Linked DNA regions of Nothobranchius furzeri. The protein of the gene in region 1 interacts with the protein of each later gene in a pairwise test. Links are inferred from orthologs where the notes say so. Each region holds a gene or a part of one and is shown on either strand. Other genes may lie near its edges. The genes, in order: spdl1, dnaaf4 and ca8.

Region 1 (2,592 bases):
TTTAATTCCTCTAAGAACTTAATACAGGTCACTGTTCAACAGGTGAGAGCTCGGAGGATCAGCTACTGACCTGTCAGTCACATCCGAGTCTTCAACGCTGATCCTCACACACTTGGCAGGTCGCGGGTCTGACCCTGAAGCTAGAACAGAACAGAAATTATTCAGATTTCCATCAGGAAATCCCGTCTGCAGGGAGCGAGCAGCAGGTCTCACACCTTCTGAGCAGCGGTTTGTCTCAACGGCCTCCAAGTCAGCTGTTTTTGAGTCCGTCACTTCCACAGCAGCCATCTGCTCACCACGAGCAACGCCTTCAGGGGGGGCAGGGATGTCCACAGGAAGCTTCTCCCTCCTTTTCCTCTGGACAGGGTTCTTTTCCACCTCTGCAGACAGGAAAGTGTTATGGACAAGACGGCAAACAGAATAATGAGGGGGTTGGGTCCTTCTGTCACCTTTGGGTTCATATTTGTATTGAAGCTCTTCCACACGCAGCTGCAGCTTTAAATTGTCACTCTGAGCCTAAAGGAAGAAGACCAAAACCAGGAAGTAAATATGTCCATGTCTGCAGCCGAGCTCAGGAGGACTCACACCAGCAGCATTACTGCAGAGGCCTGCTGGTGAGACGACTCAACAAGCAACCCAACGTGAGTTTATGCGGATGACGAGGCTGTGGACACACCGATCTGGTGAACAGGAAGAGCAGCTTTACCTGCTTCAGCAGCTGCTCAGACTTGAACAGCTTCCTCTCCAGCTGCAGCGCTCTCTGACTCTCAGACAGAGACTTCATCCTCTGCCGGGAAAGCTCGTCTCCTAAACGCTCGACATCTTTCCTGAGAACACACACCAGAGGGCACAGAGCTGTAACATGTATGTGACCTCATCCTGAACAAAGACCACCCTGACTAAACCAATCAGCTCTCTGCTTGAGCCATTGTCCACCTAGCAACTGGATCTTCATTAGCAACTCCAAGCTAGGACGGCCCTCGGTGCTCAGGGTCAGAGTTAGACCTGGGGACTCACCGTGAACCAGAACCATACAGCTGCTGATTAGTCTTCCTCCTCATTTTTAGACCTAATGGAGGGAAACAGTGAAGCAGCTGAACTCACTCGCTGTTGCTGAGCTTCATTCTGAGAAGGTCGGTGTAGTAGGTCTCATCTGGACCATCAGAGTTCCCTGCTGGAGACTGACTGGCTGAGTGGGCTTTTAACAGGATCTACACACACACACACACACACACACACACACACACACACACACACACACACACACACACACACACACACACACACACACACACACACACACACACACACACACACACACACACACACACACACACACACACACACACACACACACACACACACACACACACACACACACACACACACACACACACACACACACACACACACACACACACACACACACACACACACACACACACACACACACACACACACACACACACACACACACACACACACACACACACACACACACACACACACACACACACACACACACACACACACACACACACACACACACACACACACACACACACACACACACACACACACACACACACACACACACACACACACACACACACACACACACACACACACACACACACACACACACACACACACACACACACACACACACACACACACACACACACAAAGACAATTAATCTTTAGCTGTGTGTGTGCGTGTGTGTGTGCATAGTGAGTTTGCCATTTAGCCGACAAGCTCACCTCTGACCTCTCCAGTCTCTGGAGTTTAGCATTCAGATTCTGGATCTCTTCATTCTTCTCCGACAACATGTCCTGCAGTCTCTCCACCTGGTCCGAGTCAGCTTTAGAACCCAGCAGCTGCATCAGAGTGGCTATCTGGATCTGCACAGCACACATGTGTTGCTGCATGGTTCACGTGAGAGCAGCTTCCCCCTGTAGTGATCGTACCTTCATGCGCTGCATCTGCTGCTTGCTGAAGGCATGGTGCTTCTGCAGGGACTGGTACTGAACCTTCATGCTGATGAGCTGTTTCTCCATCTCAGCTCTCTTGTCCTCCAGCTGCAACGACATCCAACAGAATGAGCAGCAGAGGCAACTTCAAACCCAGCTGAGTGTGTGTGCTTACCTCAGCGAACAGCGAGTTCCCCTTACTGTTTGGATCCTGGGCCTGCTGAAGAACCTGATCCAACTGGATCTGGAGGTCTCGGTTCACTTCTCGAGATTTCTGTGGCAACACAAGACTGGAATAAGTGTGCAGAGACACGGGCTGGAAAAAACACTGAAGCTCAACATTGGTTCTACTTAGCAGCAATACACTGAATGTTGTGTAAAAGTAATCAAGTACTACACAGTAATCCAGTACGACACCGTTAGCTAAAATAACAAGCTAACGTTATCTTAAACAAGGCAGCTTTATTTGTATAGCACATTTCAAACACAAAAGCAATTCAAGGTGCTTTGATTCAAACATTTTATTTAACTGCTGGAGCAGATTAAGACGATGATGCCTCACACTTAAGCTTGGTTTATGCTTGACGCATTCACTTTCCGCGCGGTGATGCGGCTCGCGGC
Region 2 (3,757 bases), on another chromosome or scaffold:
CATCCTTTTGAAAATACTGCGGTGTATTCTGGGTAATTTTTGACCAAGGCTAGGCTACAAGACAACTCCCGTGTATCCTTGCTCAGCTAGCTAAACGGCTAACAAACGGAGAACACATGCCTCGGTAGAACATGAACACAGGAACACGTCTTGTTGGCTCCCGATGACGTATCTCCTAGGCAACCGGGACGGGGCCAAGACCAAGGCAAGGTCCCTTGGCATTGAGAAACACCCATGGTCTGTCTTTGCTCCTGTAGATTTCCAGGACATTTACCTCATTCAGAAACCAACCTCATGTATTCTTGTTTGACCATATTGGTCCATGCATTGTAGATTTTATTCATTTGTCCCTACAATCCTGCTCTGTACCATCTGTTTTCAAATATGCAGTTATTGAACCTATCCTTAACCAAGTCTGGACTCATCTCAGCCTAAAAATTACAAACCCATTTCTAAATGACCCTTCATCTCTAAAATAATGGAAAAGGTTGTGGCAGATCAGCTGATTACTTTTCTGGAATTACACAACCGTTTAGATAAATTCCAGTCTGGTTTTGGTAAAAAGTATTCAACAGAAACAGCTTTGCTTAAAGTTTCCAGTGACACTGTCTGAGTGTGTCTGTCTATTTTTAAATGTAGCACTGGTGCAACATCTTTGAATTACTATTTTCCCCAGAACTTTATTGAACAAAAGTAAGTAACGTGTAAGAAAAAATGCTTTTTACTGGTGCACAGCGTGGAAATCTGGATGCAGTGGAGGAAAATAAAGGAACCAGCAAAGACACAAAGGTCTGTGTCTGCTCTGTCTTCTTGGTCCCCAGTGGATCGTGGCAGTTGGCGGATGGCTGCTTGTACTGGGCCGGAATCCTCTGGAGGTTTCTTCCTGTTGAAGGGGAGTTTTCCTTTCCACTATCGCTGCATGCTTGCTTAGTATGAGGATTGCTCCTGACACAAGTCAGTGACTCAATGCAATTTGCTGGGTTCCTTATGTAGGAAACTTTTTTCTGATTGGCTTAATGAATTGACCTGTATTGGAATGTTTATTATGTGAAGTGCGTTGAGACGACTCTTGTCGTGATTTGGCGCTGTATAAATAAACTTGAATTGAATTGAAAAGGCAGAACTAGCCCAAAGTTTGGGATCAAACGTGCAGCTACATTGGCTAATGCTAAAGCGAACGGGTAGCAGTCTCACGATCAAGAGGTGCACAGAAAAATATATGATGATCGAAAAACTAAGACTAAACTCTACAAACGGATGAATATTCCCCACCATCCTGTTTATTCTGCATCCTGCAGCGCTATGGATCAGAACCGCTGCAGAGTCACATTTGCAGGATGTACGGCAAGCCGTTGTAGTGTTTAATTCACAAACACTTCTATCTTTGAACATAATTTAAACTGGATTATTGCCAACCCGTACATAATAGACAAGCAACCGTTACACTGTTACCAGCAGAAATTAAATGTTATTACCATTTCCAATACAAATGCATGTTAATGAAATGTATTGTATGTTACTAGATATATTTGTGTTATTTAGACTAAGATGAGGTTATTAATACAAACCTAAAATGTTACTGAAATGTAGGTCAAATATTGAAAAATATTTTTAACTATAAATATCAGATGGGAAAAAGGGTACTAAACACCAATCTAATGCATATCATTGAGCCTCTCATAATGAGTCTGTTATTTCAGCCCGATAATTTTGTTTTATTTTATATTTTTTTAGCACATACTTTTTGTGCTTTATTTGCTTGTTGGTGCTTTTGCTTCTACATCTTTCAAGACATTCAGCTCATTTTGACAGTTTTGCTTAATTCCAGCTTCAGTTCAGCTGTTCAGCAGCTTCAGCTTACAGTTTCAGCTATCCAGCATTCAAACAGCATTTGTGCAATAAATGCAATTTTTCTAGTTGCTTTTATATTTATGGGGAGGGAGATAATGTGGGGTCACTTTAATTTGTAAAGCACTGTGAGTTGCATTTGTTGTATGAATTGTTCTATATAAATAAAGTTTGACTTGATTTCTCATGGACCTGGTCCAATAGACCACCCTAGACGGTCTAATATGACCTAAACTAATATTGCTGAGCATGCGCATTAGAAACCTTGAGGTACTGGTCCGTTGACATGACGTCCACTCTCCCGGGCGCCGCTCCTTTTAACGGTACGCTGACGTTGACCGCGGAGTCCGTCTGGCTCCACGTGTAGTCCGTCACGTGCAGCGGCATGTTGGACTCATCTGTGTGCGCGCGCACTGATAATAATCGTGAAAAACTAGGTTGTTTTCAGGTTAGAAACTTCCGAACAACAACTTCCGTTTCAGTCCCAGCGGCATTCTGTTACTATGGGGACGAGAGACCGCGTGCTGCCTTCAGGGTTGTCGGAGATTTTAGATTTCAGTCACGTGCGGATCTATTCTCTTTACACATTTCTCACACAGACGTATTTACGGATTAAATAACCTGCTCAAGCACAGCAGGCCAGCAGGTAAAGGTGTTGCCTTGGTTACTAGCTAACCAGAACATAAACATGACATCTACAACGTCACATGGAGCACACTGTTGTGTTGGTTTGTATTTTTAAAATGTCATTTATAACTTTTTACTATCATTATTTTAATATTTATAATCAACATTTGATGCTTTTATTGCTGAGGAGAAAATGTTAATGATCTCACACACCTTATCTTTATAGCTTCTTTGTGTGTTGTTCATTAGAATTATGCAATCTCTACATTTTCATTAGTTCTTAGTTACAGAGTCTAATAATAATAATAATAATAATAATAACAATAATAATAAAAACGATTAACACATGAATCAAAGCCCATAGAGAAGGCCAGGATTTCATCAGCCTGTTAAACTGAATAGATGTTCTTTGATGTTCTGGCCCTGTGGGCCAATTGACCATGATTCTTTGGTTAAACATTTGGCTTTAATTGCATCTTGTTGCAAAAGAATGCTGACTGACAGTAAAGTAGGGACATGTCTTTGTAACGGTGCCATCTCTAATCTGGAGTTTGTCTTATCAGTGTGCAGAGATAAAAGTCTCTTTATGAACTCTTTCCTGTAAACACCTGAAGCTCCAGATTCTGACCTTTGACCTTATAAATGCATCATCCTGGTAGATAAAACAGATAACTCCTGTTTCTAACACCGAACATGTAGTCCTCTGCAGGATTACACAGTTAGAATAAAAACATGCATGTGCAGAAGTTAGTTATGGAGTCAGGAACGTGGCGGTGGATGATCTGCCAACCTCAGATGGTTTCAGTGTCAGAGCCTGTAAATCTGTTTTTATGCCTTCAGACAGAAATAATCAATCAGGAACCCAACAGATGGTTTCATTTGAAGCTGTTTGGCTTCATTCACTCACAATAAAATATTATTAAACCTTTTATGGTGCTTCTCCTGTTGTCTTAGGCGTGTGTGTGTGTGTGTGTGTGTGTGTGTGTGTGTGTGTGTGTGTGTGTGTGTGTGTGTGTGTGTGTGTGTGTGTGTGTGTGTGTGTGTGTGTGTGTGATTTATGTACTTTCTACATGATTTGACCCCATAAACCCTCTGATAGGAAAACTTAAGTTTCATGAGAGCAACAAAGTGTCAGAGCTGCGTTCATTTCTCTGGACATCAGATTTGTTTCTGTTCATGTGAGAAACGGATTTATTATTGTTTAACAAGGAAATAAATTCATGCTTTTGTTTTAAAAATCATAGTTTTCATGTGTTTTGGATCAATAAGTAAATATAGAGAA
Region 3 (3,657 bases), on another chromosome or scaffold:
AAAGGGTGGGTACTCTGAACTGATATTTGGCCCATAAGCACAAACAACAGTCAGGACCCGTTCCCCACCCCGAAGGCGCAAGGAAGCTACCCTCTTGTCCCCCGGGGTAAACCCCAACACACAGGCAGAGAGTCTCGGGGCTAACAAAAAGCCAACCCCAGCCCTCCGCCTCTCACCCGGAGCAACTCCAGCAAAGTAGAGTGTCCAACCCCTCTCCAGGTCTCGGGTTCCAGAGCCAATGCAATGTGTCGAGGTGAGTCCGACTATATCTAGCCGGTACCGCTCAACCTCTGCCACAAGCTCCGGCTCCTTCCCCGCCAGCGAGGTGACGTTCCATGTCCCAAAAACTAGTTTTCTTGTCCGGGGATTGTTCCGCCAAGGCTCCCGCCTTGGTCTGCCACCCGATTCGCATTGCACCGGACCCTTCATGTTCCTCCTGCGGGTGGTGGGTCCACAGTTGGACGAGCCCATGTATCCAGTTCGGGCTGGGTCCGGCCGGGCCCCATGGGCGAAAGCCCGGCCACCAGGCGCTCGCTCACGGGCCCCAACCCCAGGCCTGGCTCCAGGGTGGGACCCCGGTAACCCTCCGGGCCGGGTACTCCGACTCTTCGTTTTAACCGCCATGAAAGATCCTTCGAACCGTTCTTTGTCTCACCCTTCACCTAAGACCAATTTGTCATGGGATACCCTACCAGGGGCACTAAGTGCCCCAGACAACATAGCTCCTAGGATCATTAGGGCACTCAAACTCCTCCACCACGATAAGGTGACGGTTCAAGGAGGAGATAACTGGCTTCATAACTCAAAATACTGCTGTTAAATTATGACTCTTTGACTTTACAAATGGCACCCCATGCATGTGCATATCACTGTAAAGCGACAAAACGCCCGGGCGAAACATCGCGAATGAGACAGTCTCATCAGACATATGGATATCTGTTTCTTCTTCAGGGAATGTCAAGAATATCTACTAGGCTTTTCTTATTATAAACCTGTGAATATGTGCAGAGGGGTGAGTTTGATGATTATTTAGTTTTTGCAGGTGGTGGTTTTGTTGTCGTACTCCAGCCACTTTCACAACTGAATGAACGACATCAGGTTTTCTAAATCAGCAGGTCCTGCTTTTCTAGATTACACACTTCAAATATCCGCCTATTATTGACTTCCAGAAGAATGTGTGTGTGTGTGTGTGTGTGTGTGTGTGTGTGTGTGTGTGTGTGTGTGTGTGTGTGTGTGTGTGTGTGTGTGTGTGCAGTGTTTGCATGTTGCACAACAGTTGCTATGCTCACAGCCTTTGCACTTTGTGCAGTAGACCTCTTTCAGCCAGCGGCGCAACAGTGCAAGATCTGGTCTTTGTTTCAGCGGTTTGGGGCCCAAAGTGTGTTCAGTGAGGTGATAAAATCTGCAGTGGCTACGATTTACTGCAACAGGAAGTCGTACCTTGTTTTGTTCAAAATTCTGTTCTGACATGCACTAAAAATCACCTCAACAACTTGCAAAGGCTTGGATTCAGATTTGGAATGGGAAGTCAATGCTTTAAATTTGTAGGGAATTTGTTCAATGCTCAGACTGAAAAAGACAACAAGTCCACTCTTTAACTGATCAATTTATGCTCTGAAAATAAAAAATAAAAAAATCACACAAAGAGCAGAGATGAAATATTTCTGTTGTGGCTGAATTATTTTATCGTTTGTGTGCAGATTGAAGAGTTTCGGAGGCTGAGGTCCCACATCAAGGGGGCGGAGCTGCCTGAAGGCAACGATGGATTGCTGGGGGACAACTTCCGCCCCACCCAGCCGCTCAGTGAACGAATGGTTCGCGCTGCCTTCCAGTGACTTCTACATCCCTCTGCCATCACAAATAAACTGTGAGAACTGCAAACACAAAAATAGGTCCGTCCCCATTACTCAGCTCACTGCAACCCACTTTGCTGCAACAGTTCAGTGATAATGGATGTGGCTAAAACTGCTGACGGGGTGTTTGTTTTCTCAAAATAGGCTTTAATTATTTGAAAGTCAATTATTTAAGTAAAACAAATGCATACTTGATAGAAATCTGACTAGAATGTGTCGGCAAATGCTGTTCTCTGTGTTTTTGGTCCATTCAGCACACTTCATCACTGGGGACGGATTTCTAATGGAAGCAAAGCCCCAGAGGCTGTCAGGTCCTCTGATACTGAAGTATAACAGAGCAGGCCCTGGAAGAAGTAACCCAGTTCACTTACTAATCTGGGACCAGCCCTATATACATTACAGTGATCCCAGATTTAGCTCAGGAGCACTGCGGCAGGAAGACAAGGCAGAACAAAACCAGAGGAGATGAGGATTTTAACCATCCAACTTTTGTAACTGACAAAAAAAATCTGAATTTGTTTCCACAACTGCACTTGGTAAATGCTGAATGTAAAACATAGCAGCAAGATGGTGGTCTCAACAACTCTCACATGAGCTGAAAACAAAGATTATTCACCATCCTGGGTTAGGGGAAGGTGTCAGAGATTTCTGCTGGCTGTTTCCTCAGTTAGGAACATACTGAGGAAATGGAAGACCACAGGCTCAGTTCTAGTTAAGGCTCGAAGTGGCAGACCAAGAAACTTCTCAGATAAACAGAAGAGAAAATAGGTGAGAAGTCAGAGTCATCCCACAGATCAGCACCAAAGACCTATAACATTGTCTTGCTGCAGATGAAGTCACTGTGCATCATTCAACTATTCTGTGCGCTTTACACAAGGAGATGCTGTTTGTGAGAGCGATGCAGAGGAAGCCTTTTCTCTGCCCACTGCACAAACAGAGCTGCTCGAGGTTTGCTAAAGCACATTTGGACAAGCTAGCTTCATTCTGGAATAAGGTGCTATAGACTGATGAAACTAAAACTAAGTTATTTGGACAAAACAATGTTATGCGTTATGCATGGAGGAGAAAGAACACAGCATTCCAAGAAAAACACCTGCTACCTACAGTAAAACATGGTGGTGGTTCCATCATGCTGCGGGACTGTGTGCCCAGTGCAGGGACAGGAATCTTGTTAAAGTTGAGGGACACATGGATTCCACTCAATATCAGCTGATTCTGGAGACCAATGTCCAGGAATTAGTGACAAAGCTGAAGCTGCACCGAGGCTGGATCTTTCAACAAGAAAACAACCCTTAACACTTCTAACAATCTGCTAAGAAGAAGAAGAAGAAGCAAATATCATTTCTATAGCGCCTCTCAAGATAAAAATCACGAGGCGCTTCACAAAAACAAAAAAAGTAAAAATATAAAAAAGCATTTAGAAGTAAGGCATTCATGCAGAGGAACAAGTAGAATGTTCTGGAATGTTCATCTCAGTCCCCAGACCTGAATATTACTGAAAATCTGTGGTGTGAGTTAGAGCTGTCCATGCTCAGAAGCATCAAACCTGAATGAACTAGAGATGCTTTGTAAAGAAGAATGGTCCACAATACCTTCAGCCAGAATCCAGACTCTCATTGGAAGCTATAGGAAGTGTTTTAGAGGCTGTTATTTCTGCTAATATATTGTTATATATGTAACAAGCCCCAGGAGTTGGGCCTGTTGACAAGATTAAATGTTCATGTAAAACAGGAAAAAGATGAGACAGGGATGACAGGTGCTGTTAATCCTCTGCCTCGCTCCCGCCGAAGGAGACCTCTAACCC

What was found.
Region 2: the proteins of spdl1 (region 1) and dnaaf4 interact in binary tests that used the Homo sapiens proteins (3 or more experiments, as listed by UniProt). The two-hybrid records come from large-scale screens. The link is inferred for Nothobranchius furzeri from reciprocal best matches to the Homo sapiens genes SPDL1 and DNAAF4.
Region 3: the proteins of spdl1 (region 1) and ca8 interact in binary tests that used the Homo sapiens proteins (3 or more experiments, as listed by UniProt). The two-hybrid records come from large-scale screens. The link is inferred for Nothobranchius furzeri from reciprocal best matches to the Homo sapiens genes SPDL1 and CA8.

The regions. Positions count from the first base shown.
Region 1 is NC_091741.1:109,686,562-109,689,153, reverse strand, and holds part of spdl1 (protein Spindly), read right to left. Parts: intron 2,246-2,592; coding exon 2,147-2,245; intron 2,080-2,146; coding exon 1,969-2,079; intron 1,903-1,968; coding exon 1,762-1,902; intron 1,212-1,761; coding exon 1,105-1,211; intron 828-1,104; coding exon 707-827; intron 517-706; coding exon 450-516; intron 381-449; coding exon 216-380; intron 141-215; coding exon 71-140; intron 1-70. UniProt on the Homo sapiens protein: Required for the localization of dynein and dynactin to the mitotic kintochore.
Region 2 is NC_091744.1:80,737,605-80,741,361, forward strand, and holds the start of dnaaf4 (dynein axonemal assembly factor 4), read right to left. Parts: upstream 2,567-3,757; 5' UTR 2,236-2,566; coding exon 2,113-2,235; intron 1-2,112.
Region 3 is NC_091751.1:59,051,521-59,055,177, forward strand, and holds part of ca8 (carbonic anhydrase-related protein), read left to right. Parts: intron 1-1,700; coding exon 1,701-1,835; 3' UTR 1,836-1,867; exon of another isoform or gene 1,868-1,892; intron 1,893-3,657. UniProt on the Homo sapiens protein: Does not have a carbonic anhydrase catalytic activity.